7 linked regions of the Rattus norvegicus genome follow. The protein of the gene in region 4 purifies or fractionates together with the protein of the main gene of each other region. This does not show direct contact. Links are inferred from orthologs where the notes say so. Each region holds a gene or a part of one and is shown on either strand. Other genes may lie near its edges. The genes, in order: Trip12, Smarca1, Numa1, Ezh2, Macroh2a1, Fam120a and Pabpc4.

Evidence for each region.
Region 1: the proteins of Ezh2 (region 4) and Trip12 purify together in Homo sapiens (affinity purification with mass spectrometry; 3 studies listed by BioGRID, with this or other methods). This does not show direct contact. The link is inferred for Rattus norvegicus from reciprocal best matches to the Homo sapiens genes EZH2 and TRIP12.
Region 2: the proteins of Ezh2 (region 4) and Smarca1 purify together in Homo sapiens (affinity purification with mass spectrometry, with the first as the bait; 3 studies listed by BioGRID). This does not show direct contact. The link is inferred for Rattus norvegicus from reciprocal best matches to the Homo sapiens genes EZH2 and SMARCA1.
Region 3: the proteins of Ezh2 (region 4) and Numa1 purify together in Homo sapiens (affinity purification with mass spectrometry; 3 studies listed by BioGRID and IntAct, with this or other methods). This does not show direct contact. The link is inferred for Rattus norvegicus from reciprocal best matches to the Homo sapiens genes EZH2 and NUMA1.
Region 5: the proteins of Ezh2 (region 4) and Macroh2a1 purify together in Homo sapiens (affinity purification with mass spectrometry; 3 studies listed by BioGRID and IntAct, with this or other methods). This does not show direct contact. The link is inferred for Rattus norvegicus from reciprocal best matches to the Homo sapiens genes EZH2 and MACROH2A1.
Region 6: the proteins of Ezh2 (region 4) and Fam120a purify together in Homo sapiens (affinity purification with mass spectrometry, with the first as the bait; 3 studies listed by BioGRID). This does not show direct contact. The link is inferred for Rattus norvegicus from reciprocal best matches to the Homo sapiens genes EZH2 and FAM120A.
Region 7: the proteins of Ezh2 (region 4) and Pabpc4 purify together in Homo sapiens (affinity purification with mass spectrometry, with the first as the bait; 3 studies listed by BioGRID). This does not show direct contact. The link is inferred for Rattus norvegicus from reciprocal best matches to the Homo sapiens genes EZH2 and PABPC4.

Annotation. Positions count from the first base shown.
Region 1 is NC_086027.1:93,487,340-93,491,293, reverse strand, and holds the start of Trip12 (E3 ubiquitin-protein ligase TRIP12), read left to right. Parts: upstream 1-1,154; 5' UTR 1,155-1,284; intron 1,285-1,459; exon of another isoform or gene 1,460-1,582; intron 1,583-1,714; exon of another isoform or gene 1,715-1,871; intron 1,872-1,932; exon of another isoform or gene 1,933-2,076; intron 2,077-3,954. UniProt on the Homo sapiens protein: E3 ubiquitin-protein ligase involved in ubiquitin fusion degradation (UFD) pathway and regulation of DNA repair.
Region 2 is NC_086039.1:131,934,283-131,937,782, forward strand, and holds part of Smarca1 (probable global transcription activator SNF2L1), read right to left. Parts: intron 1,505-3,500; coding exon 1,338-1,504; intron 1,026-1,337; coding exon 925-1,025; intron 820-924; coding exon 719-819; intron 1-718.
Region 3 is NC_086019.1:165,776,252-165,779,751, forward strand, and holds part of Numa1 (nuclear mitotic apparatus protein 1), read left to right. Parts: intron 1-592; coding exon 593-661; intron 662-2,123; coding exon 2,124-2,243; intron 2,244-2,331; coding exon 2,332-2,550; intron 2,551-2,631; coding exon of another isoform or gene 2,632-2,655; coding exon 2,656-2,813; intron 2,814-3,500. UniProt on the Homo sapiens protein: Microtubule (MT)-binding protein that plays a role in the formation and maintenance of the spindle poles and the alignement and the segregation of chromosomes during mitotic cell division.
Region 4 is NC_086022.1:77,642,184-77,645,683, reverse strand, and holds part of Ezh2 (histone-lysine N-methyltransferase EZH2), read left to right. Parts: intron 1-523; coding exon 524-664; intron 665-2,417; coding exon 2,418-2,520; intron 2,521-3,020; coding exon 3,021-3,184; coding exon of another isoform or gene 3,185-3,199; intron 3,200-3,500. UniProt on the Homo sapiens protein: Polycomb group (PcG) protein. Catalytic subunit of the PRC2/EED-EZH2 complex, which methylates 'Lys-9' (H3K9me) and 'Lys-27' (H3K27me) of histone H3, leading to transcriptional repression of the affected target gene.
Region 5 is NC_086035.1:8,483,297-8,487,349, reverse strand, and holds the start of Macroh2a1 (core histone macro-H2A.1), read right to left. Parts: upstream 2,801-4,053; 5' UTR 2,629-2,800; intron 1-2,628. UniProt on the Homo sapiens protein: Variant histone H2A which replaces conventional H2A in a subset of nucleosomes where it represses transcription. Nucleosomes wrap and compact DNA into chromatin, limiting DNA accessibility to the cellular machineries which require DNA as a template.
Region 6 is NC_086035.1:15,935,611-15,939,110, forward strand, and holds part of Fam120a (constitutive coactivator of PPAR-gamma-like protein 1), read left to right. Parts: intron 1-2,287; coding exon 2,288-2,385; intron 2,386-2,573; coding exon 2,574-2,857; intron 2,858-3,500. UniProt on the Homo sapiens protein: Component of the oxidative stress-induced survival signaling. May regulate the activation of SRC family protein kinases. May act as a scaffolding protein enabling SRC family protein kinases to phosphorylate and activate PI3-kinase.
Region 7 is NC_086023.1:140,861,691-140,864,589, forward strand, and holds the end of Pabpc4 (polyadenylate-binding protein 4), read left to right. Parts: intron 1-927; coding exon 928-1,021; intron 1,022-1,106; coding exon 1,107-1,237; intron 1,238-1,507; coding exon 1,508-1,597; 3' UTR 1,598-1,604; intron 1,605-2,098; coding exon of another isoform or gene 2,099-2,116; 3' UTR 2,117-2,399; downstream 2,400-2,899.

The sequences.
Region 1 (3,954 bases), on a different chromosome or scaffold from region 4:
AGAGGCTCCAACAAGGTAAGGGAAGACGTTTCAGTCAGCCATTCCTTCTAAAAAGAGGAGTTTTGGTGTGGTTATTGTAAAGGCTGGAGCGAGGTTCTTGGGGGGGAAAACAAAACGCCACAGGATTAAGTCCTACCCTGGAAGAGAGACCGTCCCTTTCTCCCCCTGCCGGCTTCTCCTTGGGACACTTAGCTGAGTCTTTCTTTCCCTCCTTCCCACGCTGAGGTGAGGCAGCACGCAAGCAGGGACGCCTGTTTTTCTTCGGCGCGCGCGGAGGGAACGCAGCGGGTAGGAAGCCGGGAGGCAGGAAGGGGAGCGGACGGCATTTGTGGGGAGGCAAGGAAGGTTCGCCAGGGACGAGCCCGCCTTGGGGAGAGAACGGACTCTCGGGCCGCCGAGCAGAGGTGACGAGGGAAGATCTCTGGCTGTGAGCTGAGAAGCGGCGCTTCCGGCAGGCCACGGTGGCTGTTTGCCTGGAGCGGCCCCCATCGGGTGGCCCTGTTGGGCGGGGAAGGGGTCAGGAGAGACAGGAAACCGTGGGTCGCACTTGCCTGAGTTCGGGTGATCAACAACTGGTAATAGTCTTTGCTCGGCGCCGGGCCTTGTCCTACAATTTCAAACAGAGTCTCCGGTAGCCACGACGCCATCTTGGGACGCCACCGCCGTCGCTAAGACAACCAGGAAGGGGCGGGGCTTGACCGGGGTCAGGGGGCCGCAGCCTCACTTTAAAGCGAAGTCCGCTTTTGAGTTGGCAGTGTGGGGGTTTTAACTTGGGGTGATGGTTTCCTTTACCAGGGCTCACAAGGAACCTTGCTTTGTGAAATTTCTACAGTCAGGTCCTGGGTGACCCGAAGTGGAATTTAGTTCCTGCTAGCGCGGAGGGGCGGGGGGTGACCCCAGCGGAGGGATACGAAGTGGAGCGCCACAGTCCCCTTCCTGGTCCCTTGAAGGGATCGGAAGGAGACTGGAGGCCGCTCGTCGACTGGAGTTGAGCGTTGCGGAGGGAGGGGCGATAGGATGGGTTGTAAATAGGTAGCGGGGCTGGTCCTGCGGAGGATCCCGCAGGCCGAAGCCTCAGGACAAAGTAGTCCCCGGCTGGAGTGGAGCGGGCGGGGAGGGAGGCGGCGCGGGCGGAGGCGCACGGCGGCGCGGTGCTGCGGCTCAGCTGATAATTGAAGGGACGACAAGCCGCCGCCGTCGCCGCCGCTGGGGGGGGTGGGGGGAGCCAGTGGAAGTTGCCGTCGCGCCACGGAGTCCGGACCAGAGACTTTGGGGCCTAACTAGGTAATTGGGACGCCGTTCCTAGCGGCGGGGTCGGGCTTTGGGGGAGGGGGCTGACGAGGACTGGGAAACCGGAGCCAAAAGTCTGAGGCAGCGTGCCCGTGTCATCGTAGCGACAGAGCTCCCGGCTCTACTCGCTGGCGGCGGCAGGGCCGTGGAAGGAGCAGCCCGAGGCTGACGGGTGAGGCGCTCGAGCGAGCCCGCGGCGGAGGAGCCGGGGCCGACTGGCTTGGGGGGGGGAGGGGGCTCTGAGTCCCTGCTCCGGCCTCCAGCGATGAGGAAGGCCCTAGGCGGAATCTGGGTAGGGCGTGCGGGTCTAGGGGAGCCCAGCGGGGGCCGGGAGGGACCGGAAATGGTCTTTGGAGCCTGGAGGGCGTCTAGGAAGAGAGAAAGTGGGGGGCCGGAAGTGCAGGTGGGGGGCGTGAAGACAGCAAGGGTTCCCCGGAAATGGGACGGGGGGCCCGGAAACAGGGAAAGGGAGGCTCTGAGCTGTGGACGGCCCGGAAATGGAAACTAGGGAGCAGCTCGAGTGACAACTGTTGTGAGGCGAGGGTCTGAGGGAGGAGAGGCGGGAGTGACTTTGGACCGCGGTAAGGGTCTTCCTGCTGGGGGGGACGGTTGGGAGCGGGCGAACCGGGCCGAGCTGGCGCGGGGCGGCTTTTCCAGGCGGGGAAGTCGAGGCTGAGGGAGGACGACGATGCGCCGAGCTGGCAGGGGCCGCGGTAGAGGCCGAGAAACTTGGCTGAGGGAAAGCAGGATCCTCTAAGAGGACTAGCAGGGGAATAGGACGGAAAGGTTAACTGGGCTTGGGTGAGGGAGGTGGGCCAATTGTCACCCCAATCCTATTAACATTCAAAGCGAGTCAGGAGATTAATATATGTGGATTACATAAAACTTACTACACTGTTTGTCCGTCAGTTCAACTCATGCCTATCGAGTGGGTTTCTTGTAGAGAAACAAGTTTACAGGGATGTTCAGAAAACGAAGGTTTTAAGACCCAGTCTTCTGTCTAGGACTTCCTTGGAATAACAGCCTTCATTAGTTAGAACGCAGAAACATTACTAGAATTAAAAAAAAAATGCAGGTGGGGGGTGGTGGCGAAATTACACCTTGTAACTATTCTAGGTGGACGTGAGGGAATTCATCCGCGGTGATAGGGAAACGAGAAGGGGCGGCTTCCCACCTCCTGCAGATTTGTTTCTGTTAACGCGTTTTAGTTTGTTTGCGAAAGGTTTTAGTTTTGGCTTCTGGGCTGCTTTTTAGCTTGCTGGCTCCGTTAATTGGGGGCGGGGATGTTACTAGGTAAACGGGGGAGTGGGGGTGGGGTGGGGGTGGGGGTGGGGGGCGGTTGATAGCGCAGTGACTCTGTTCCGAGTGGTCTAACCGCTCTCCTGTCTCCCTTCCTAGTCTGAGCTCGCGATCTGGCCTGGGTTGCCAAATCACCCGATCTCCAGGCTTTCTTCGGTTTGTAGGCCCCAGTGGTATCTTTAACTTTTTCTTGCTCTCAATCTAATTTTTGGTGTGTGTGTGTGTGTGTGTGTGTATATATATATATATATATACATATATATATATGTATATATATATATATTTATTTATTTTAAAGACTTGGCAAGTTGAGGCTTCGAATCTCATCTCTAAAAAAAACAAAACAAAAATACGTGGTAGAAAGTTGAAAGAGCTGTTACTGAGTAGGGTAAAAAACTGATGCTAGGAACAAAGGTCTTAGTTGTGTTAGAAAAAAGGCAAGGGGCCTGTATATGAGGCCTTGTATGTCACGTTTGAAGTTAATTTATGGAGGCCATTACTAGAGTCTTATTTTCTTACGCTTATGCGGTTACTTCAGTATTACATTTTAAGACTCTTTGATTTACTCGTAGTTTCATGTTTAGACCCAGAACTGGTATGTTTTTATACATTGTAGCATGATTACTAGTAGGCTTTGTATATGCCTGCTTTTCAACGAATGGACTAAGAATTGTAGAACTCTAAAGATTGTTTCCATCTGCTCCACTGTGTTTCAGTGTGAGTAGTGTTTAAGTCGGCCCAGCTGGCATTTAGTTTTTTTCTGATTAGGCTGTTTAGCTTTTCATATACTTTCTAGAAGTCTGAAAACTGTTTGCAATCCCAGAGAGTGCTATTGTAAAATTAGCAAATATTAAAAATGTATGAGAGTCTAATAGAGTAGATCAAGGTGCTTTAACTGAGGAAAGTAAATTTCTTTTTTATTTAGTAAAAGATATTTCAAAGAAGATATTTAGACGTATCCTAAAACAAATGAGTTATTTTGGTTTTGAATTCCTGAAATAAGACCAAATTAAAATAGGAAAAGAAATGATTTTCTGTTTAGTGAGAGCTTAAATCAGTGCAGACGTTCCTACCAAACTTCTGTCTAGTGCAGCACTTAACAGTTTTTAAGGGTCTGCTAGGCCAAGTTCTTTCTCTGCCTTTTGGTTTGCTTCCTTTTTTCATCAGTCCTTTCTGTCACTTTGCCTTTAGTCTTTTTCTTTGCCTCTGGTCATCCACACTGGGTACAGTCCCCACTGTTTTAGAAGAGTCCTTTGGTGTTTTTTTTTTTTTTTTTTTTGGTTCTTTTTTTCGGAGCTGGGGACTGAACCCAGGGCCTTGCGCTTCCTAGGTAAGCGCTCTACCACTGAGCTAAATCCCCAGCCC
Region 2 (3,500 bases), on a different chromosome or scaffold from region 4:
ATTGTTTTGTTTCTATATCCTACCTCATTCCCAAGAAGATGCCAGATTGCTCGTTATAAAAAACATGGAACATAAGTTAATGGTAAAACAGAAATGAAAAGTTATCAAGGAAAATTAGACTAGAAGATAAAGCATAAGAAAAGAAAAAAGAAAAGAAAAGGAAACCATCAGGGGCAGACCTTAAAGGATGAAGAGATGCTGCCTTTTGGCATTGCACTTTTCTTTGGGCTTCTTGGAAGCCAAAGTTCAAACAGAAACAAGAGCAAAAGAAGAGGTGTCGTACCACTTCAGGAAACCTCCATATGATCTTTGAGCAATGCAAAAGGTTCTATTCTACAAGTTATTTGAACAGTTATAGACAACAAACATTCTTTTGCAGGCTGGAGACATACTTCAGATGTCGAGAGCACCTTTTGCTCTGACAGAGAACCTGGGTTCCATTACTCGCACTCATGTGGTGGCCTGCAATCAGCCGTAACTCCAGTTCCGGGGATCCTATGCCCTCTCCTCCCCGGGTGCTGCAAACACATGGTATTCATATAGGCAGGCAAGCCACTCACACACATAAAGTAAAAGAAAGAAATCTAAAAAGTAGATTATTTTGCCACTAAATAAAGCTTTTGGGCATAGGGCTTAAGGAAAGCTCAACACAGGTAGTTCAAATTTACATTAAAAACTTGTAGTAAATCAGAACATTCTTTGAATACCAGTGCCTTACCATTTCATCAGCTAAAATACCATTGACTCCATTTTCATACAAAGAGATCAACCAGTTTAGTCCTCGAATCTGATAATCTCTCAGGGGTCCTCCCTTCACATCTAAAACAGAAATGAAGAACCTCTCAGACTTTTACTAGTATACTCAAGGAAATTGGGTTTTCTACTGAACTGCAAAAGTGACCATGAGTGTGATAAAGTACTCACAAGAAGGTGAGACCTCAAATCTAACACACACATTCGATGTTTTCCTACTCTCTGACAGAAGCTCCTCATCTTCCTCTTGTTCTGTGCGCCTGTGGCGATAGCTAGGTGAAAAGACAAAAAGAAAAACTTTCACATTCAGGCCAGTGCGGAGACACCAAGCTAGATTTGCAAATGTCTTTTATTAAAAAAGGAATGTGTTATCTAGTGTCTGGCATAGAATGTGGTAGAGCAGTCTAAGTTTTGGGGTTTTTTTTAACTAATTATGTTCTGGTGAGAAAAAAAGACAAAGATTGGTGTTTCCAAAACACATTTGCATTGCCAATAATCATATTATTCACAGAAAGTTATCCTGAGCAAATGAAATGAAAGGGGGAGGGAAAAGGGAAAAGGAAGAACGTAGAAAGACTACATACTCTCCCACAGAAATCAAGCTCTGCTTGTCATCTTTCTTTACTCGAGGACGAGCCAGTTTCATGTTAAGAGGAGATGTTGGAGACTTCTGTGCTGAAGGTTGAATGAAATGTGCAAAAAGTTCCGTCTGCTTCAGCAAAAACTCAAATCTCTTCGCTCTGTCTGCTTTCTAATTTACAAACGAGAGGGAAAAATAAAGATTTTCTTTTTGTGTTCATTCAAAGTTATTTATCAAACATTTATATTCTGCTTCAGTTATGCAATAATCTCGATGCTTTTAACATATTAATCTACCAAATTCCCTTTGAAATCCATAAGATGGCCACTAAGGTCATACCCATTTTACAGATGATAAAATGGAAGCACAGAATGGGCAAGGAATGCTCCCATGCTTCCCCAGATTGTAAGTAACCAAACTTCACAATGCTATTTCAAGTAGTTTGAATAGAAATAAAATGACCTGACAGATTTAATAAATGCTCCCAAAAGAAGTATACCCTTAGGATTGGAAGCACAGGGGAGCGGTAGAGTACTGCCAAGACCCAGAGTTCAATTCCCAGTGCCCAATATTACAAAACAATCAGAAAGTCAAAATTAGAAAACGAATCCTCTTTCTAAACATGATCCTCTTTTTCTTTAATTAAAAATAATTGCGACTTGTTCTCTTTGTTCTTCTCTGCCCTTCCTTGTCTCTTTTTTCCCCATACTCCCTTCCCCCCCCCCCATATGCCCATGGCCAGCCTCCTTTCCTCTTCTCTCTTCTTCTCTCATTAAACCTCTCCACATGGAAAAAAAATAATTGCCAGGCTGGAGAGATGACTCAGTGGTTAAGAGCAGTGACTGCTCTTCCAGAGGTCCTGAGTTCAATTCCCAGCAACCACATGGTGGCTCACAACCATCTGTAATGGGATCTGATGTCCTCTTCTGGTGTGTCTGAGGACAGTGACAGTGTAGTCACATACATAAAGTAAATAAATAAACCTAAATTGCATCAATTATGTATGTACTAAACATAGAAACACATACATATTGGAGCCATGCAGGGTGGCACACAACTTTAATCCTAGCATTTGGAGGACAGAGGCAGGACAATCTCTGCAAGCTCAAAACCAGCCCGGTCCACAGAGCAAGTTTCAGTATGGCCAGGACTTCAAAGAGAGAACTTATCTCCAAAAAAATCATAAACAAATGAATAAAATACACATAAATTATCATAAATAAATGAATAAAATACACATAAATTATAATACATACATACTATAAAGTTTGAGAATTACCAAGCTGCATTTAGAAATAACTGAGGGGTTGGGGATTTAGCTCAGTGGTAGAACGCTTGCCTAGCAAGCGCAAGACCCTGGGTTCGGTCCCCAGCTCCGAAAAAAAGAAAAAAAAAAGAAATAACTGAAATCTAGGCATAGAACATCAGCTGCTCTTAAAGATATTTTCAATATCATGGTACAATAATGTAATGACATTTTTCTTTGAATTATGTCATTCTGGAAATTTATACTTTATGCTACTAGTATGTAATGTTTCTCCACAAGAGAATAGAACTTAGAGAAAAATATAGGTACACATATATGTGAAGTAGTTCGTATATATTAAGTATTTCCATACATAACGCTGTTGTTTGTGTAGTCTAAAATTTCAATACATTATCAAAATAACTTGAGTTGTTTTATTTTATTTTTATTTTTAGATTCATATTTGTTTCTTAATAAAAGAAAGAAAAGGCATGGATTTCGATGGGAGGAGAGGTAGGGAGAATCTGAGGTGTTAGAGGGAGGGAAAACATAATCAGAATATAGTAAAAAAAACTTTTTATAGTAGATAAATAGAAAAATAAAAATAAGCTGGTTCACAACAAAACCTTAAAAGATCAAGAGTTTACTTCATCCTAAATAAAGGAAGAGATAAAGATTTTATTTCTAGCCACTCTCCGATCACTCAGCAGAGAATACTTGATTACTGGTAAAAAAAATTAATAACACAGAAACTTATAGGAGAATTCATTAGCATAGATACAAGACTTAGAAAAGTACATCCAGGGTTGGGGATTTGGCTCAGTGGTAGAGCGCTTGCCTAGCAAGCGCAAGGCCCTGGGTTTGGTCCCCAGCTCCGAAAACAAAACAAAAACAAAAAACAAAAACAAAAAACAAAACAAA
Region 3 (3,500 bases), on a different chromosome or scaffold from region 4:
AGAATCTCTCCTCCATGGGCCTGAATCAGTGAACTCAGTTTGATCTGTTGTAATGTTCTTTCCACCATAACCCCACACCCTTACAACTTACCCCACACAGGTGTCCCACACAGAATACTTGAATGAATTAGCAAAGTTATTTAGCTCCTTGGTTTTAGGTTTGGCTATAAATTATTGGTGGGCCCTGAGAAACAGCGGTGTTCGTTGTCTTGCCAGACCAAACTACAGGATCACATTCCTTAATAAATGCCCTTACTTTAACTGTTGACACCTTCTAGGACTTGAATTTTGGTTTTGATTCTCCCAAGGCACACTTAGAAATCTTTAGACTGGTTATGCATATCCAGAACAAGAAAGTGAGGCAAGCAGGCAAAGAGCAAAAACTTCCTTTTATGTCCTTTTATGTGAGCTGCCACCAGGTGTGGCCCAGACTTAAGGTGCGTTTTCCCGCCTCAAATGATCCAATTGAGAAAAATCCCTCATAGCTGTGCCCAGTTGCTTGGGTTTTAGCTGTTTGCAGATGTGGTCTAGTTGAAAACCAAGAAAGCCATTCCACCCTCATCTTCTTGTTTGTTCTTTTTCTGCTCCTCAGGTGGAAGAACTGAATAAGAAGCTGACAGAGAGTGAACAAGCCAGCAGGGTGCAGCAGCAGAAGCTGAAGGTGGGGCAGCCGTGGGACAGGCCTGTCCTCTGCCTCAGAGCGCCAGGGTGGAGGGACAGCTTCTCTAAGCCCTTGGGCAGTACCAGGCCAGAGCAGGTGCTCCCTGGGGGCCTGGTTGCCCAGGAACCTGTCCTGGGCCTCAGAAACCTTGGCTTTGTCTTCAGGGATCTCTCACCGAAAGGCCTTCTCTCTGTTACAGCCAACTATGCTTTTCAGTTAAAAATATCAAGGCATAGGTCTGGTTGAGTGGTAGAGCACTGCTTGGTGCACAGAAGACCTAGGCTCAGCTCCAGCACCTCAGAACAGGTTACTTTGTTTGTTCTTGATTTACCCTAGCCACTTTCCCAGTCAGTAGGGCAATTGCTAATGACTGCAAGACAGAATAGGACAAGTTCCTCCATCCCAGAAAGTTCTGTGGGAAAGCCCTGCTGTAAGTAGTTGGGGTTCAAGAGTTGAGAGTTTCAACAATTCTCAATCTTAGAATGCATATCCCTGCCCTCCTTGGGATGGGAGACCCCATCCCATTATGCCACCCAGAGTCCTGAGATTACTTGGCATTTGCCATAATGACCAGTGCAGTTAACACTTAATGCTCCCAATTCTGTTACCTTCTTCGTTCCAGTGTTTGCTTTCAGCAGCTCTAAGCTTCCCATCCCTTAGTTAAGGGCAAAGGATTGGGCACCAGTTCCACAGGGACTTGTGTAGCACATAGTGGATCCCAGGTAGAGGAACTCTGGGATTCAGTTTCCTTCTCAGCGTCCTTGTCCGTGGTCTGTGGTGAACAGTAAGCAGGTTTGTCATGTCCCTTTTTAGGGTTGTTATGAGCTAGCAGATGGAGGAGTTTTGTAGTCCCACCCAGTACCTGTGGTAAACCAAGCTGACACTGCAGATACGGGGACCAGCTGCTGCTCCTCATGAGGAGTTAGGGTTCCCTTAGGAGACAGTGGTGGCATCGTAAAGGAGTCAACCCCCAGTTTTGGAGTAGGTGGATGAAGTTCAAGGTTTACTGTACTGTCAGTTTGCCTAAATCCCTGGTCTCTTCTCTTCTGTAAAACAAGGATAAAAGTTGTTTCTTGGAGAAGTGAGTTCCTGTCATTGGCATGCACATGCACATGCAGCTGTCTCAGCTCTAGACCAGGGCACTCTCAGAAGATCCCTTTCTGTTCCCTTGAGAGAGAATGTCCTTGTACAGGGGTGAGATTCCTGGTGCTCGGCCTCAGATGGCGGCAGGACTGTGAGAAGCGTTAGAGCCAGCAGATGGTCAGCACACGCCGGACGGTCTGGGAGGGAGAATGGAATTGGTTGTAGGCTGCGGTTGGGGGTGTGTGCATTGGACTGAGGCGTCCCTAGATGTCCTGAGAATCTATTCAGAAGACTGGGAAGGACCTGTGGAAACTGAGCAGCAGAAGCAGGCCAGTGGGTTTGGGTAATCAGAGTTCCCTTGTTTTGATTGATTTCTCAGGCTTTCCAGGCCCAGGGAGGTGAAAGCCAGCAGGAGGTCCAGTGCCTCCAGACGCAGCTGAGTGAGCTGCAAGCCCAGCTGAGCCAGAAGGAGCAGGCAGCTGAGCACTACAAGCTACAGGTGCGGGGCCAGGAGCCAGCCTGCTCTGCCCTTCTTCCTGACCATTTCTAGGCTCTGCCACACACACACACCCTGTCTGTCCACACAGATGGAGAAAGCCAAGACCCATTACGATGCCAAGAAGCAGCAGAACCAAGAGCTGCGGGAACAGCTTCAAGACCTGGAGCAGCTGCAGAAGGACAACAAGGAGCTGCGGTCTGAGACTGAACGTCTGGGCCGTGAGCTGCAGCAGGCAGGGCTGAAGACCAAGGAAGCTGAACAGGCTTGCCGGCACCTCACAGCCCAGGTGCGCAGCCTGGAGGCCCAGGTGAGCATCTGTTTCAACAGCAGCCCCTCACCCTGATCTGTTGTACTACGTGCCTCCTCTCCAAGGCCACCCCTACTCTAGGCTTCTTTTTATTTTACTTCTAAGGTTGCCCACGCAGACCAGCAGCTTCGAGACCTGGGCAAATTCCAGGTGGCAACTGATGCCTTAAAGAGCCGTGAGCCTCAAGTGAAACCCCAGCTGGACCTAAGTATTGACAGCCTGGATCTGAGCTTGGAGGAGGGAACCCCGTGCAGTGTCGCTAGGTCAGGAGACATGCCTCTCTGTCCTGGGCCTGTTCATTGAGTGTGCGCTGTTCTAGCCCGTGGGTCTTCTGTGATGACAGATGCCTGCGTAGGGCACAGGAGAAGTGAAAAGGAGGTGGAACAGTTAGGAAAGCCTTGGAAGGAAGCTCTGCTGAGTTTTGATAAACTCTACAAGAGTGTGCAGAGGCGGGTGAAGGAGCAGCCTGTAGTGTGAGGCCAAGTAGGTCTGGCAGCCAAAGGCTGATGGACTTCAGAAGTGCTCACACTGAGGACTACAGGTTGGATTTGCATCCTAGTTTCCTGACAGTATTGAAGGCAAGGTTCGCAGTACAGTTACTGTTTCTATCAAACAGCGTGTTCTGCACTGTGGGCCAGTGTTCTGAGTTCTTGGAGCAGTTACAACTTCATTTTCCCCCTAGCCACCATGTTGGGCTCTATTCATTATACCTCCTTAAACAGAACTGGGCTTTAGAGGGATCCACAGTGATAGAGCCAGGTTTGAACCTGGCAGCCTGTCCTGAGTTCTTGTCACTACTGTGCAGTGTGTCTCATGGCAGTCTGTCTCTAGGTGAGATGAGCTGAGGGGAGGGAGTGCACATGGGGAGTGTGCAGCTAGTAGAGTTCTCAGAATGTTGACTGCAATTGTGTGTGGTAAAAGAGGTCAAATTACACCCATGCTCATGACCT
Region 4 (3,500 bases):
CCTCCCTGTTCAACAATGCCCTTCCTCAGGGCAGCCAGAGCCTGTGAAATTAAGTTATCAGAATCTTGGATTCAGGTTTCTGTGTACAGGAGGCTCTTTTGATATCTGAGCAAAGGGAGCTGTGGTCATATTATAGTGGAAAACAGGTTTGAAGTGGTCAGTCAGTGACACAGATTGGGAGGAGGTTAAAGCCACAGGTCCTCAATGATTAAGGGAGTAATGTGCCCTGGACCAGCTGGAGAGGGGTGATTTCTGAGAAAGCAACGGATACTGAAGGAAAATGCTGTTTTCTTTGCTGGCTGTGAAATTGATTTTGACTGTCCTTACCTGCCCCTCCGGTTACAGTGCTGATAGGCCTTCGCTATTCTTCCAGATTAGAAAATGCATACAAAAAAAAAAAAAAAAAAAAAAAAAAAGAAAGAAAGAAAGAAAGAGAAAGAAAGAGAGAAAGAAAAGAAAAAGAAAATGCATACAAAGACTTTTGTCATTATCCTTTTCCCTGTTTCTGACATTTGGATTTTAGAATGTGGATTTATAAATGATGAAATTTTTGTGGAGTTGGTAAATGCTCTTGGTCAATATAATGATGATGACGATGATGATGATGGAGACGATCCTGATGAAAGAGAAGAAAAACAGAAAGATCTAGACGATAGTCGAGATGGTATGTTTAATACTAGTTTTTTGTTTGAGCCTTATATAATTCTTCTTTTAAAATAAAAGTACCAGGCTGGTAAGATCAGGTCGGTAAAGGTGCTTGGTGAATCGAGATTCCTGGAACCCACTCTGTGGAAGAGAAGAACTGACTCTCCTAAGTTGCCCCTGATCTTCACACCAGTACACTGTGGCAGACATACAACCATATGATATATGTAAATAAATGTAAAAACCACCCATTTTGGGGTAGAATGTAACTCTCCCCTTTTTGTTAAGTGTTCTATCTTAGCAGTATGATCAAATGTATTCTCTGCAGCATTTCATTCTCTATAGAGCTTCTTCGTTTCCTGTGCCTAGCAAAAGGACATGTGTTTTTGGACTTTGCTGATCAGTTATCATAATTATCTTTATAATAATAATAATGATTTATGGCATATTAACAGCTTTATTATATATTAGAAATGGCTTTAGAGAAGCTGAAGACTATGGGACTTAGTTAAGATTGCAATATTGGGAAAAAGTTGAATCTGAGCCCCAAATTGATAACATAAGTCTGACTCGAGAATTGTGCTATTGCCTCTACACTTGTTAAGTGTTCCTAGAAAACAGTCTACCCCAAAGTAGAGCCCATAATTCTGTCTTCTACTTAGCAAGCTTACTATCAAGCAGAATTAGGAGAAAATTGCAATTTCAAAAGACATGTATTCTTTATAACAGAAACACACCGGAGTCAGTAAGTGATTGCTAAGTTCTTCCATGTGATGGACAGTTCTGAAGGTGGATTAATGATCAGCTCTGACAGAAAACTATTAGTGTCAAATAATCAAAATTTGGGGGAATCTGTCTTCTTGTACTCTTAGCATCTTGACAAGCTTTTCCATAAGAAATAACTGATAGAGGGTTTGGTGATGCCTGTAATCTCAGCACCTGTAATCTGAGCGAAGGCAGGAGAGTCTGAAGTTCAAGGTTATCCCTGGCTTTGTAATGAGTTTTATGCTATCTTGGGCTAAACTAGGCAAACCTGTCTTACAAAATAGGACAAAACCCCCAAGCCAGTGATAGTGAGTCATCCTTGTCATTCTCGAACTTGGGAGTCAGAGACAATAGAATAGAAAAGTTGGCTATCGAGGTGAATCAGTGGGTAAGAGTGCTTGCTGAGCAAGTCTTTTTCTTTCTTTAAGAATTATTTATTTATTTTATGTATGTGAGTACACTGTAGCAGTCTTCAAACACATCAAAAGAGGGCATCAGTTCCCATTACAGATGGTTGTGAGCCACCATGTGGTTGCTGGGAGTTGAACTCGGGACCTCTAGAAAAGCAGTCAGTGCTTTTAATCTCTGAGCCATCTCTCCAGCCCCCAAGCAAGTCTTGATGACCTGATTTGAATTTCTTAATTTCACCATAGGAGAGCACTGACCCACAAAAGTTCTTCCCTGACCCTCACATGTGCACAATGGTGTGCACACCCATGTGTCTTCACTCAGGGAGGTGCACATAAGCATACATACATGCACACCTTAAAAAATAATAAAGTAATTATTAAAGCTTCGAAGTCAACCTGGTCTACTTAGTTGCAGGCCAACTAAGGAAGGCTACACAGTAAGAGATCTTGTCTTACTCCCTCCTCTCCAACCTCCACAAAAGTGAACCAAAGTTGACAAGTTGTTAGAACATCAGCTTTGTTGAGACACAGTGATAGAGAGAAAATGAAGCTGAAACTTGTTTCTTCCATCTCCCCCTATCACAATTCACTGTTTAGATAAAGAAACTTGCCCACCTCGGAAATTTCCTGCTGATAAAATATTTGAAGCCATTTCCTCAATGTTTCCAGATAAGGGCACAGCAGAAGAACTGAAAGAAAAGTGAGTAGGAATTTTTCTTTTTTTTTAATTTGGGGCAGTTGTGCATGTTATCATCTCTTGATTTATTATTTCAAGCATTCTCTCTCTCTGTCTCTCACACACATACACACACACACACACATACTTTACTGTGTATTAGAAAATTTTTAGTTCATATTGAGTACATATATGAGTATTCATGCATATTCTATGCCTATGTACAGTTTATACTAATATATTGAGGAAACCTTTTCTGGACGCTGGTAGAGATTTATAGTTAATCCAAACTAATGTAATAACCTCTTCTGCTACATACCTCAGTTGTATTAATGAGCTTGATTCTTATTTCCCATGCATAATACACGATTGGTTCTTAATGCAAGTAAAGATTACTGTAGGTTAGATTTTTTTTGTGGTTGACTTTTAGATAATATAAACTTAAAAAAAAAATCAAACCCATGAAAACCTTTTAGAAACTCACTGTGCAAAAAAGTGATGTTTGTTTGTTTGTCTGGTGTCAGGTATAAAGAACTCACGGAGCAGCAGCTCCCCGGTGCTCTACCTCCTGAATGTACCCCAAACATCGATGGACCAAATGCCAAATCTGTTCAGAGGGAGCAAAGTTTACATTCATTTCATACGCTCTTTTGTCGACGATGTTTTAAGTATGACTGCTTCCTACATCGTAAGTGCAATTATTGTACGTTTTCATTTTCTATCTTTGTTGTTGAAATATGTAGTAAAGCAACTTGATGTCAGTTGTCACAACCAAAATATACCGACCAGTCTTATAGTGAAGGCTGAGAAATATGTCACACCCCGTACTGTGACTGTTTTCTTCTTTGAGGATTCCTCTGACATCTTTTGTACTCATTTCATTCCATTCACTGCTTCCCAGTAACTTGAAGTGAAGGTCTTCACACTTGACAAGGCTGTTTTATAATGAATGATTGTAGTGAGGCAGTTCTCAGCTCAGAGCAATATTACTGCCATTTATGAAC
Region 5 (4,053 bases), on a different chromosome or scaffold from region 4:
GGGGCCTGAAACTTCGCCGGTCGATACGCGCACTACACCACCGTGCTTTCTGGGCTGTACGAAGGGACCAGTCCTGCATTAAAAGGGCAACACTGCCACTTAACTCCTCTCCCTGCTTGTGCTGTGACAGCTCCTTTTTTAAAAAGCCATCAGGAGGAAATGTGACTTTAAGGAGCCCAGTCAGACCAAGTATCTGGAAGCTTCCAGGTATTTGCTACACGGGGATCCCAACTAAGGGTAAGAGATGGCCTAGCCACTGCTCTCCTCTCTTACTCTTACTTTGGGGTGTTCCTGGCTGCTCTTAGATCAGCTGTGGTTCTGATGGGATTCCGTGGAGTTTCCCCTGTCCTCGTCTGACCCTAGATTCTAGCTTCACCTCACTGGTTAGCTTGTACAACTGGCACACATGGTTTCTCAGGCCTTGGTCGCTTGCCCCCACCTGTCCTCCTATGCCCAACAAACTCGCCTCTTGACCTCGCCAAGCCACATAGGACTCGACCCCACTAACACAACTGTCCTTCCTCTACTGACCTACAGTCAGTTCTCCAGGGCAGGGCCTGGGCATTTCTTGCTCATGACTATTTCCTAACCCAGAACAGATTTTTGGGACATACGAGTGACTGCAAGCATCAACCAGGCAGGGTTGCTCTTAGCAAGCAAGTTATAGGACTCTTTGGAGTCCTCAATTAGGAGCCCCTGCTCCTAAGCCTACAGAACAGGGATGGGGGCATTAGCAGGTAAGGGTCCAAGTCACCCCCACTCTTTCCCATTTTATGTTCCTAGAATGGGCTCCGAAAAGCCCATCAGGAACCAAAGACTACTGCAAATCCTGAACACCACATACAGACTAGTAGTTTCTCTCTTCAAATAGACCTTTCATCGACTAGGGGACACCATCAGCTCCAAGCATGTCCCCATGGGAGGGAAGAATGGCTTTCCAGATCCTGAGGAAGGTGGCAGAGTGAACTGTATCACTCCCTAAAGTTAGTCCACATGGTAGAAAGTAAGCCAGTGAGGAAGTTCTCACATGTGAATTTCCGGACCGTTCTCAGTAGACAGTGTGGGCTCTCCCTGCCTCACCATAAATCAGTACCTGCTATAAACAATGTCCACCCACCTCTCCCCAATACCTTCTTTACCTAGGGATCAACATGAATAGTCAACCAATGAAAACGACCTAGCTCATAGCAAAATGAGAAAGGGGGAAAGTCTAAAGTCTCGGGGGATTCCTTATCCTTAAGAGGAAAAAAACCCCACAAATTGAAAAGGTTGATCTAGTCAGAGAGGGTGGTGTGTGTGTGTGTGTGTGTGTGTGTGTGTGTGTGTGTGTGTGTGCTGAGTTACTTTGGCTCAATTGGTCAATTGTGGACAAGCTGTATTAAGTGCAGTAGCAGGTACAAGGCGTCTATTTCCGTGTTAATGGTAACTGTGACTGTACACCTAAAGGTTAACCTACAGGTAACAAGAAGTTTAGTGGGGTTAAGACTCGAGTCTTCCACTCCAGCACAAACTGTTCAAAACTGGGACTCCCTGGTGCAAAGTCTACAAACAAAACACTTCCTCTCTTTTAACAGTAAAACCTCAAACCACAGAGGTGTCAGCACTGAGGGAAACTGAGCAGGAGAACCCCCCTAATTGTCTATTCTTCTAAGCTGTTTTACTGGATCATTAAAAAATCTTACAAAGACTTCATAATGACTGTAACTGTTGGAGCCAAGGTCTGTCTCGGCGGCTTGTTCAAAAGTTACTCTTTGAAACCTAGAAAACAACTTTCCCCTACATATCTTCTAAGACTCTTTCAAGCAATCTTCTGCCCGGCCGTGAGTTACCGGCGGTCTCTGCAGGAGTGGGAGCGGGGCTCAGCATCTCGCACACCTGTTGTCAGGTGACACCGCCAGCAGCATCCCGCGCCTCCGGTCTCTACACACCCCACCCCCAGAGACTCTCTTCTCAGCTGTCCCTCTGCGCGCGGGGAGCCTACGGCCTTCCGGAGTCACCTTAAAAATAACACCTCCCCAGCACAAAGCAAACAAAAGGCGAGCGAGAGCAGCGGGGCTTCCATGGCTCCTCTCCAGCCCGCCCGGGCCTGCGATTCCGTCCGCGAGTGGTCCCCAGGCCTCGCCTGCTCAGGCCTCGCGGCGGGTGCCCCACCAGCCGGCCTCACAACGGCCCGTGGCTCGCGCCCCACTTTATTGTGCCCGGGAGGGCACGCGCGGGCCAGCGGCGCACGAGCAAGTAAACTCTGAGCACAGCGGCTCCGGCCCGGGCGGACGGACCGGTCTCGGCCTCCGGGCCTCGGTGCCCTAGGACCCGCGCCACCCCTGGCTCTACCGCCCGGAGAGAGGGGGGAGACCCCATCAGCCCCTTTCCCACAAAGCGCCCCGGCGGGGGCAGGGGTGCGTCTCCGAGAGAAGTTGGTTTCCGGGTTTGCTTTCGGAACAAAACCACCGGGACCCGCGCGCTGCCCCGGCAGGGCCTTGGCGGACCCCGGGCAGCCCGAGGCCCGAGGGTAACCGCCCGAGCTTCCCCGGCTCTAGGCAGAGCCCAGCGCGCGGCGGCCGTAGGGCGCGGGGGGCCCGGACCGTGCGGACCCGCAGCTTGCGGCTCCGAGGCCCGCGCGGTACTTACCGGGCGGCTGCACGGTGAGGGGCCCGAGCCCGGTCGGCCTCTTGCGCCGGTCCGCTCCGCACTCCTGCCTGCCCGCCCACGCCTCCTCGCTTCCCGCCCGCGCGTCCCGCGCTCGCGCCCTCCGCCCGGCTCCGCTGGAACCAGTGAACTGGAACCACTCGCGGCGGCCCCGGGATTCCCACAATGCACAGCGCGCCGCTCGTCACATCCCTTCCCGGCCTCGCGCGTCCGGCCACCCCTCCCGCGCCACTCGGCGCCCTGGCCTTGACCCCGGCCTGCGCCGGGCCGCGGACGCCAACGGCGCCAGCCTCGGTTGCACCCAGGCCTTGCCGCCTGCCCTCTGCCCACCAGACATCGGTCTGCGCGCGGGAGCTGCAGGGGTCGGGCCTCAGGAAGATGCTTGTTCAGAGCGCGGCTCGGCAAGCATGTGCAGTGAGCACCTACTGTGTGTCTTGTGTCGCCTCATCACCAGTGGCGTTGTCCACAAAGAGGGAGGGCACAGTTGCTGTTACCAGAGATCTCTTCCTCCAAAGTCAGCACAAACTCCGCGCCTCAAGCCGGCCCCCTGTCTTTAAATACAAGCATTATTCAAGCAGCTGTGTGCCCCAAGATCAGCTGCTGCATCTCAACTCCCTTGATCAGTGGGATTCTTCAGAACTGGCCTCAAAGTCTGGGTTTGCTTTGCTCGTGGAATCGGCTAGCTTCCTCCACCAAGCAAATGTTTGATGACTACTGGCTCCAAGTGGAGAGCTACTGAATTTAAGCAGTGCTTATTTTTACATATTAACGTGGGGGGTTGTCAGCCAGAGAAAGGGCAGCAAAGTCCATCCACAAAACCAAAGACTCTCCTCCAGACCCAGGCTGCACTAGAATAGCAGCAGGTTTTGGGGGTTTGTGACCTTAACAGCTGAGCCGTCTCCCCAGCCCTTGTGCATTTTAAAGACACGAAAGGCACTGTCTAAAGCCCCTCGCCCATGCATTCGTTATTTCAAGGAAATACCTAGGACATTCTGCACACCGTGCAGAAATCTGGGTGTAGTTGTGGAATGGTAAACAGAATAGGCAAAACCCCCTGCTTTCCTGGAGCTTACAGTGGTGGGAAAAGAAAGGCAAGAGACAAAGGAGTCATGCATTACAGGGTATAAATTCTGGGAGGAAATTGGGTCGGAAGAAATAATAGGAAAGGTAAGCAGGGGTGTGTTTAAGAGGTAGCCTTGAGGCTGGAGAGATGGCTCAGGGTTTAATGGCACTTCAGGCTCTCGCAGAGGACCAGGATTCTGTTCCCAGCATTCATGTGATCCTCATCACTCCACTCCGGGGAATCCAATGCTCTCTTCTGACATCCATGAGTACTGGGTACCTCGTGGTGCACAGACAGACACACACGCAGGCAAAATACTCAAAACACATAGAATGAAATAAGTC
Region 6 (3,500 bases), on a different chromosome or scaffold from region 4:
CAGGGCAGGATGGGAGGGAGGGCTTTGCTGTGATGTTTACAGTTAGTTGGAAGTGCTTTTAGTTTAATACCATTTCTTTAAACAGGAATCTTAATTTAATATAGAGCAAAGGCTAGGCAACTCTACGAGGGTTGTGAGTCACTGGGGTGCGTCATAGAACTGTGCTTTGGGGTCTTGGGGGAGAAAAGTCAGGGAATGCAGCTCAAAGGCACCTGTATTTGTTGCTTTTCTGTGCGTTCCTGAAGAAGTCTGTAATGCTTAGCACTTTTTTTTTTTTTTTTTTTTTTTGGTTCTTTTTTTCGGAGCTGGGGACCGAACCCAGGGCCTTGCGGTTGCTAGGCAAGCGCTCTACCACTGAGCTAAATCCCCAGCCCCAGCACTTTTTTTTTAAGCTATAAAAATACTTTATTAATTGAGCATTCTTCTTGCATTCTTTTTCTCTGTTCTTCCCACTTTGCTAATAAAGGCTGCTCTAGTATGTGTTGGTAAAAAGGACATAGGAGAGTGGCAGTGTTGCCTCTACACTGGGCCCTGTGTCTCTTCTGAGACACTCTTGTGGTAGAGAAGGGGGACCGTGGTTCTTTTCAGCTACTGCACTGGTCATGGAACAGAACAACCAATTTAAAGGGAGGCCTGTGAGCTCCCACAACAGGTCCTCAGGGTCAGTCATTTCTTAGGAAGATGTAGAAGACTTCATTCAGTTACCACAGGGTTGACAGATGAGGGAACAGTAGCTTGCTCTTGGAGATACAGGAAGCCATTGACTACAATGTGCTTTTTAGAAAATGCTGTAAAAATGTTGGCTCTGGCAGGGTTGGAGCAGTGTTTCAGAGGTTAAAGAAGTGACAGGTTCCCAGCACCCCTGTCCGGCAGCTCCAGGGGATCTGCTGCTTTTCTTCTGGCCTGCAGTCATGTGACATCTGACTGTACACACAAAATAATAGAAATACAGTTTGAAGAGAGTCTTTGGTTTTTGTGTTAATCTGTTTTGTTTGTTCAAAGGAAAGTTTGTGCTTTTTAGGGAGGTTTTAGTTGTTATATTCAAAAGTAGCATGGCCCAAGTGACCATCTCCTGAAAGTGACAACTGTAACCAACACATCCAGGCCATGCTCTCATTATTCAGAAGTTAGTGGGGGTTGGGGTTCACAACTTTAATCTGAGCACTAGGAAGGCAGAGGCCTTGGAATTTGAGGCCAGTCTGGTCTACCAAGTGAGTTCCAGGACATCCAGGGCTGCTACACAGAGAAACCCTGTCTTTAAAACAAAACAAAACAAAACAAACAGAAAGTTAAATAGAAAAGGTCAGCTACCATAAATTAACCAGACTTTGTACAGTGATTCCAATGATAATGTTTGAGCACTGCTGGATTTTATAGCATATTTTGTCCCTTCTCCTAGCTGTGACTCTGAATTACCATAGAGTCTCTTTAACAGGTGTAGTGGCTCTGGCTTCACACTTGGAGGGGAGCTGGTAGGCTTGTCACTTGTGCACAGATGCATGCGTGTTTGGTGTGTCCGCACGTGTAAATGTGCCCCATGCGTGCTCGTGCCGAGTTCACTCTTCCCTGCTGTTGGACAGCAGTTTTCTTGTTCAGTACAAAGTGGGATGCTGTGCTAGACTCTCTAGTGAGTGAGAGCCAGGGTCAGAGTCCTGCTGTGGCATTTCAGAGCTAAGAGCTGCAGTCTGGAGAGGAGAATTCTAGAGAGTTGGTAGCTTGTGAGGCTCCTGGATCCTGATGGAACTGGAGAAAGTGAGCCGTGATCTGTGCTTCTCTTTCAGCCTTTTTGGGCTGCACGGTAGCTCTCAGGAAACCCTGTGTCCACCAGGTTAGGCCAGTGAGGGGGCTAGTGTTCTCATTTATAGTCCTGGTTTGACTGTAACTTGTATTGTTTAAGAATCATCCCCACAGTTTGGTCTTGGAACTTTGCTTTCAGAGAGGCAGAGTGAGGAACTCTGGGAAGGGTACGTACTTGGCTGAGGAAGAGGTGGTCATGTGTGCCTTCATTGCCCAGTGCTGTTTAGAGCAGAGGCTAGAAAAGCCCTCTGATCTTAAGAGAGCTAAGTTTCAGAGCTCTGCCTGGTTTTATTTTTCACTTTTATAACAAGATAAGGAAACTATGACCTCTGGAGCCACATGTTAAATTTGAATTTCTAAAGGTTTCTGGGAAGAGGGGCAGCTGAAGGGGGCAAGGTATATGGGCCCTGGGCTAACTCGGGGGTATCCTGGGGATATGGCATTCTCTTCATACTTGTCTTATTATTTTCTTCCTGTATTGATAAAACAGCCCGACCAAATCCATTTGGAATGCCTGGGATGGTGCCACCATATGTTCCCCCTCAGATGCTCAACATTCCACAGACTTCTCTGCAAGCAAAGCCCGCGGTAAGGTATCCTCTGAGTCAAGTTAGTCCTGTGAGCCTTGGACATGCATTGTTTTTTTAAATTCTTGTGTTGATAGAAAGGATAGATACCAGTTTGTCAGATTAGAAATGACTGAAGAGGACAAAACTAATTCAGCCTTGCCTCAGGCCCCACCAGCCCTATACACTGATTTGTGTTCTGCATTTCAGGTCCCACAGGTGCCCAGCCCAGGGGGCACCCCAGGCCAGGCTCCATACCCATACAGCCTCCCTGAGCCTGCCCTCGCCCTGGACTCTAGCGGGAAGAACCTGACAGAGCAGAACAGCTACAGCAACATTCCTCACGAGGGGAAGCACACACCGCTGTATGAGCGCTCCTCGCCCATCAACCTGGCCCAGAGCGGCAGCCCCAATCACGTGGATTCCGCCTACTTCCCTGGCTCGTCTACCTCGTCCTCATCAGACAACGATGAGGGCAGTGGAGGGGCAACCAAGTGAGTATTCAAGATCACAGAGTGCTCTGGTGCTGCGAACTGAGGGCTTCCTTCATTCTGCAGCCCAAAGTTGTCTACCACAGGTAGGTGCTGTTTGACCTAGGTCGTGCTGTTTGACCTAGGTCTTGCTGTTTTAGCCCCAAAGCTGGAGATCCCAGGAATCTGGGCAAGTTGGAAAGTAACTTATTTATGTTGTGGCTCAAATATGAGGGTTGCTCTGCGGTGCCACCGGCCCATCAGGTACATCAACTCCCCTGACACCCTGAACCTTTGGGTTTCCTGGAGAAGAGAGCCCAAACCTTCCCTTCATCCAGACTCAGCAGCTAGTTAAAGGGACATTCTTGAAACAGCACTGTTTGCCTGGCCAGAGTGTAGAATGCTGCCTGGATTCAGATGAGACTTCTTCCTAGAGAGCATCAGAAGTCACAAATGGACAGCTGATTCAAATTGGATTGCAGAAATCTTAGTGTATCTCCCTTGTCCCCTAAGGTATTCTGTTTGGGAAAAGGGAAAGAATTAATTGTCTTTCCTGTGAGTCCAGTGTCCTTTTGCCAATTTAAGCACTGCTAATGGGACAGATAACTAGGGCAGGCTACTGCTGTGAGACTGCCCAGCAAGGCTGGTGGGCGCTGCGCTTGCCTTT
Region 7 (2,899 bases), on a different chromosome or scaffold from region 4:
CTGAGGAACCAGGCCCCAGGGTTGACCTCCCCTACATCGTCAAACACATATACAGAACACCCAACAGAAAGCTTCCCAGAATATTCAGAGGTTAAGGTGCCTAAGCTGTGACCTAAAGCATAGCCACTTTCAGAACTTGGTGGCAGTTTGCTATGACTGGGCCTCACCTGCCCAGACAACTTCAGGAGTAGAAGCTGCTTTGAATTATTCTTAATAATAGTCTCCCTTCTCATCATTCTCTCCAGTGGGGGTTTCTTGGAACTTGGTGCTAATTCACCTGTAACACCTTTTTATGGTTCTAGCAACACTGTTGCATATATTAATGATCCTCAAATAATTGCTAATATATTAAAAACACCTAGACCAAGCCCCAGTCCTGTAAAAGAAAAGGTTGAATTTACCAGGGTATTATTAGCATATCCCAGAATCCAGGTGCTGGGTCAGTAGAGACAAAAGGATTAGGAGTTAAAGGTCAGCACCTACTGAGGCCAGCCTGGGTTCGGAGAGGGTACACAGAAAACCCAAACATCCTGTACCGGGGGATAATGAAGTATGGTTAGGAATGTTTTGATTCTCACTCTTTGGCTCCTGCCTCTGTATGTACTGACAATAACGTAAGGGAGGCATTGAAGAGAAGTGCATAAATACTGTGAAGTACGCACGTGTAATCCCAGCCCTTGGCCCTTGGCAGCAAGGGGATCAAGGCCAGCCAAGACTACATGAAAATCACAAATTATGTCTCCCGGGGCCTGGTTTTGACTGCAGGGCCTTGTGTTGTGAGGCAGGTTTGTTGGTCAGCATCTTCCCCTTCCAATAGCTTACAGTACACAGCTAGCCAGCTTTGTCTTTGAGCACAGGACTGCCACCTCCGCTCCCTTTCACATAGTCTTCCTTAGTGCTAACCCCACTGCCTCTCCTGGTTCACAGGCCCCCCAGCCTGCAGTCCATGTCCAGGGTCAAGAACCCCTGACTGCCTCCATGCTGGCTGCAGCTCCTCCCCAGGAGCAGAAGCAGATGCTGGGTAAGTTCCATGCTTGGGAAAATGTCAGTCAGTTGGTGCTCACTGGGATTGGACACTTTTATGATGGCAACTGTTCTGCCCACAGGGGAGCGTTTGTTCCCACTTATCCAAACAATGCATTCAAACCTGGCTGGAAAAATTACAGGGATGCTGCTAGAAATCGACAACTCTGAGCTGCTCCACATGCTGGAGTCCCCCGAGTCCCTCCGTTCCAAGGTGAGCTGCCTTTCAAGACCCTGTGACATCACGGTTTAGCTTCAGGGAATGAGCTTGGGGGCCGTCCAGAGAGAAAGGTCTGTGGCCCCCATGGCCACCCATGTCTGATTTGAGCTACTGCTAAAGTTGTTGAAGAGATAGCACCAGGAGGAGCCCGCCTGGGGGATCTTCTACTCATTGACCACGTCTGTGTGCCAGGAGAGACAAGTGGGTCACTGAGCACCTGGGGTGGCTCCCCTCAGTCTCTGAACATCTGGGCGTCTTCCACAGGTGGATGAAGCTGTGGCAGTCCTGCAGGCTCATCATGCCAAGAAAGAAGCTGCCCAGAAGGTGGGCACTGTTGCTGCTGCTACCTCTTAAACCAGAAGTATGTTGACAGTTGACATTTTCTGCCTCTCTGGTGTTTCACATAGGGCCTTACTTAGCCTATGCCCCAGGATGATTCACTCAGCCTCCAGGATGCTGGGGGGCTACGTCCATGACTATGTCTGTAATCCCAGCTGTCCACGTTGGGGAGGCAGAGCCCTAGTACCCAGCTGCTCAGTCTGAGCAACCTAGAAGCACCTGATCACATGCTTGGCCACCACATAGAAATGAATAATCTCCTGGCCTGACATAGTGGCAGTCACATCATAAGACCTACCTGCATCTATGCATATCTTATACCTTGCTAGCTTGGCCTGAGGTGGGTGAGATTGTGTCCTGCCAAGCTGGGAGAGCAGTGTGCAGAGGGATATTGGTCTTGTAGGACTGGTACCTGAGAGGTGATGGACAGTTGAAGTCAGGGCGGGATGGGGCAGCTGATGCTGATGGAGTTCTTATAGCGGGCTGCTTATTTGTGTTGGTGCTGCTCTCTTTCAGGAGTCAAAAGCCAAATAACCCCTCACGGCATTCAGCTGAGGTCTGAAGACTTCCTAGTTTGTCTGTGGACCTCTTTCAAGAACCAAGTTACAAATTCAACAGGTCATTTTGTATCAAAAGGTCAATTATGAAGCACCTAGAATTTTTCAATTATAAGAATATATTCTCTGGGTTCTGTTGTGGCCCAGATGATGGTAACTTTTTTTTCTATTATGAGTTCTGTTTTTTTTCCCCTCTCCCAGAAATTGGTTTTGATGTACCCAAGACTTAAGTTTCTCAATAAAGGAAATAAAATCTCCAAGTCTGGCTGTTTTTATGTGTTGCCAATCAGTTTTATTCTATATCTTGGGCTTTTTTGCTAGAACTACTGTTAGTATTAAATGAATTTACTTTTTCCTTTTTAGGAGGATTGGGTAAGCAAGCATGCAGTAAGTTAATGTGTCACTGGGGTGGAGCTTGCCTGGCATGTGCCAGGCCCTGAGCTCATGGCTGACACCTATGGTCCTAGCTGGAGTCAGTAGGAGCTACAGGATAGTGAGACCCAGTTTGAAGTCAGCTCAGCCCAAGCCTGAAAAAATGAGCTGAATTGAGCCATCAGAATGCTCTGCATACCATGACAGTATACTTGAATGTAGAATGCTCAGACCAGCAAAGTCTAGGCCCCTCGGGATTGCTGCAAACCCTAGGGATCCCTAGTCAAAGCCTCCACTCTCTTCCTGGAGTAAAGTTTGTCTCCTGGAGTTACCTGCTCACGTCAGCAAGTGCAACAAGGCTTCAGCTCTGGGAAAATGCTCAGAAATC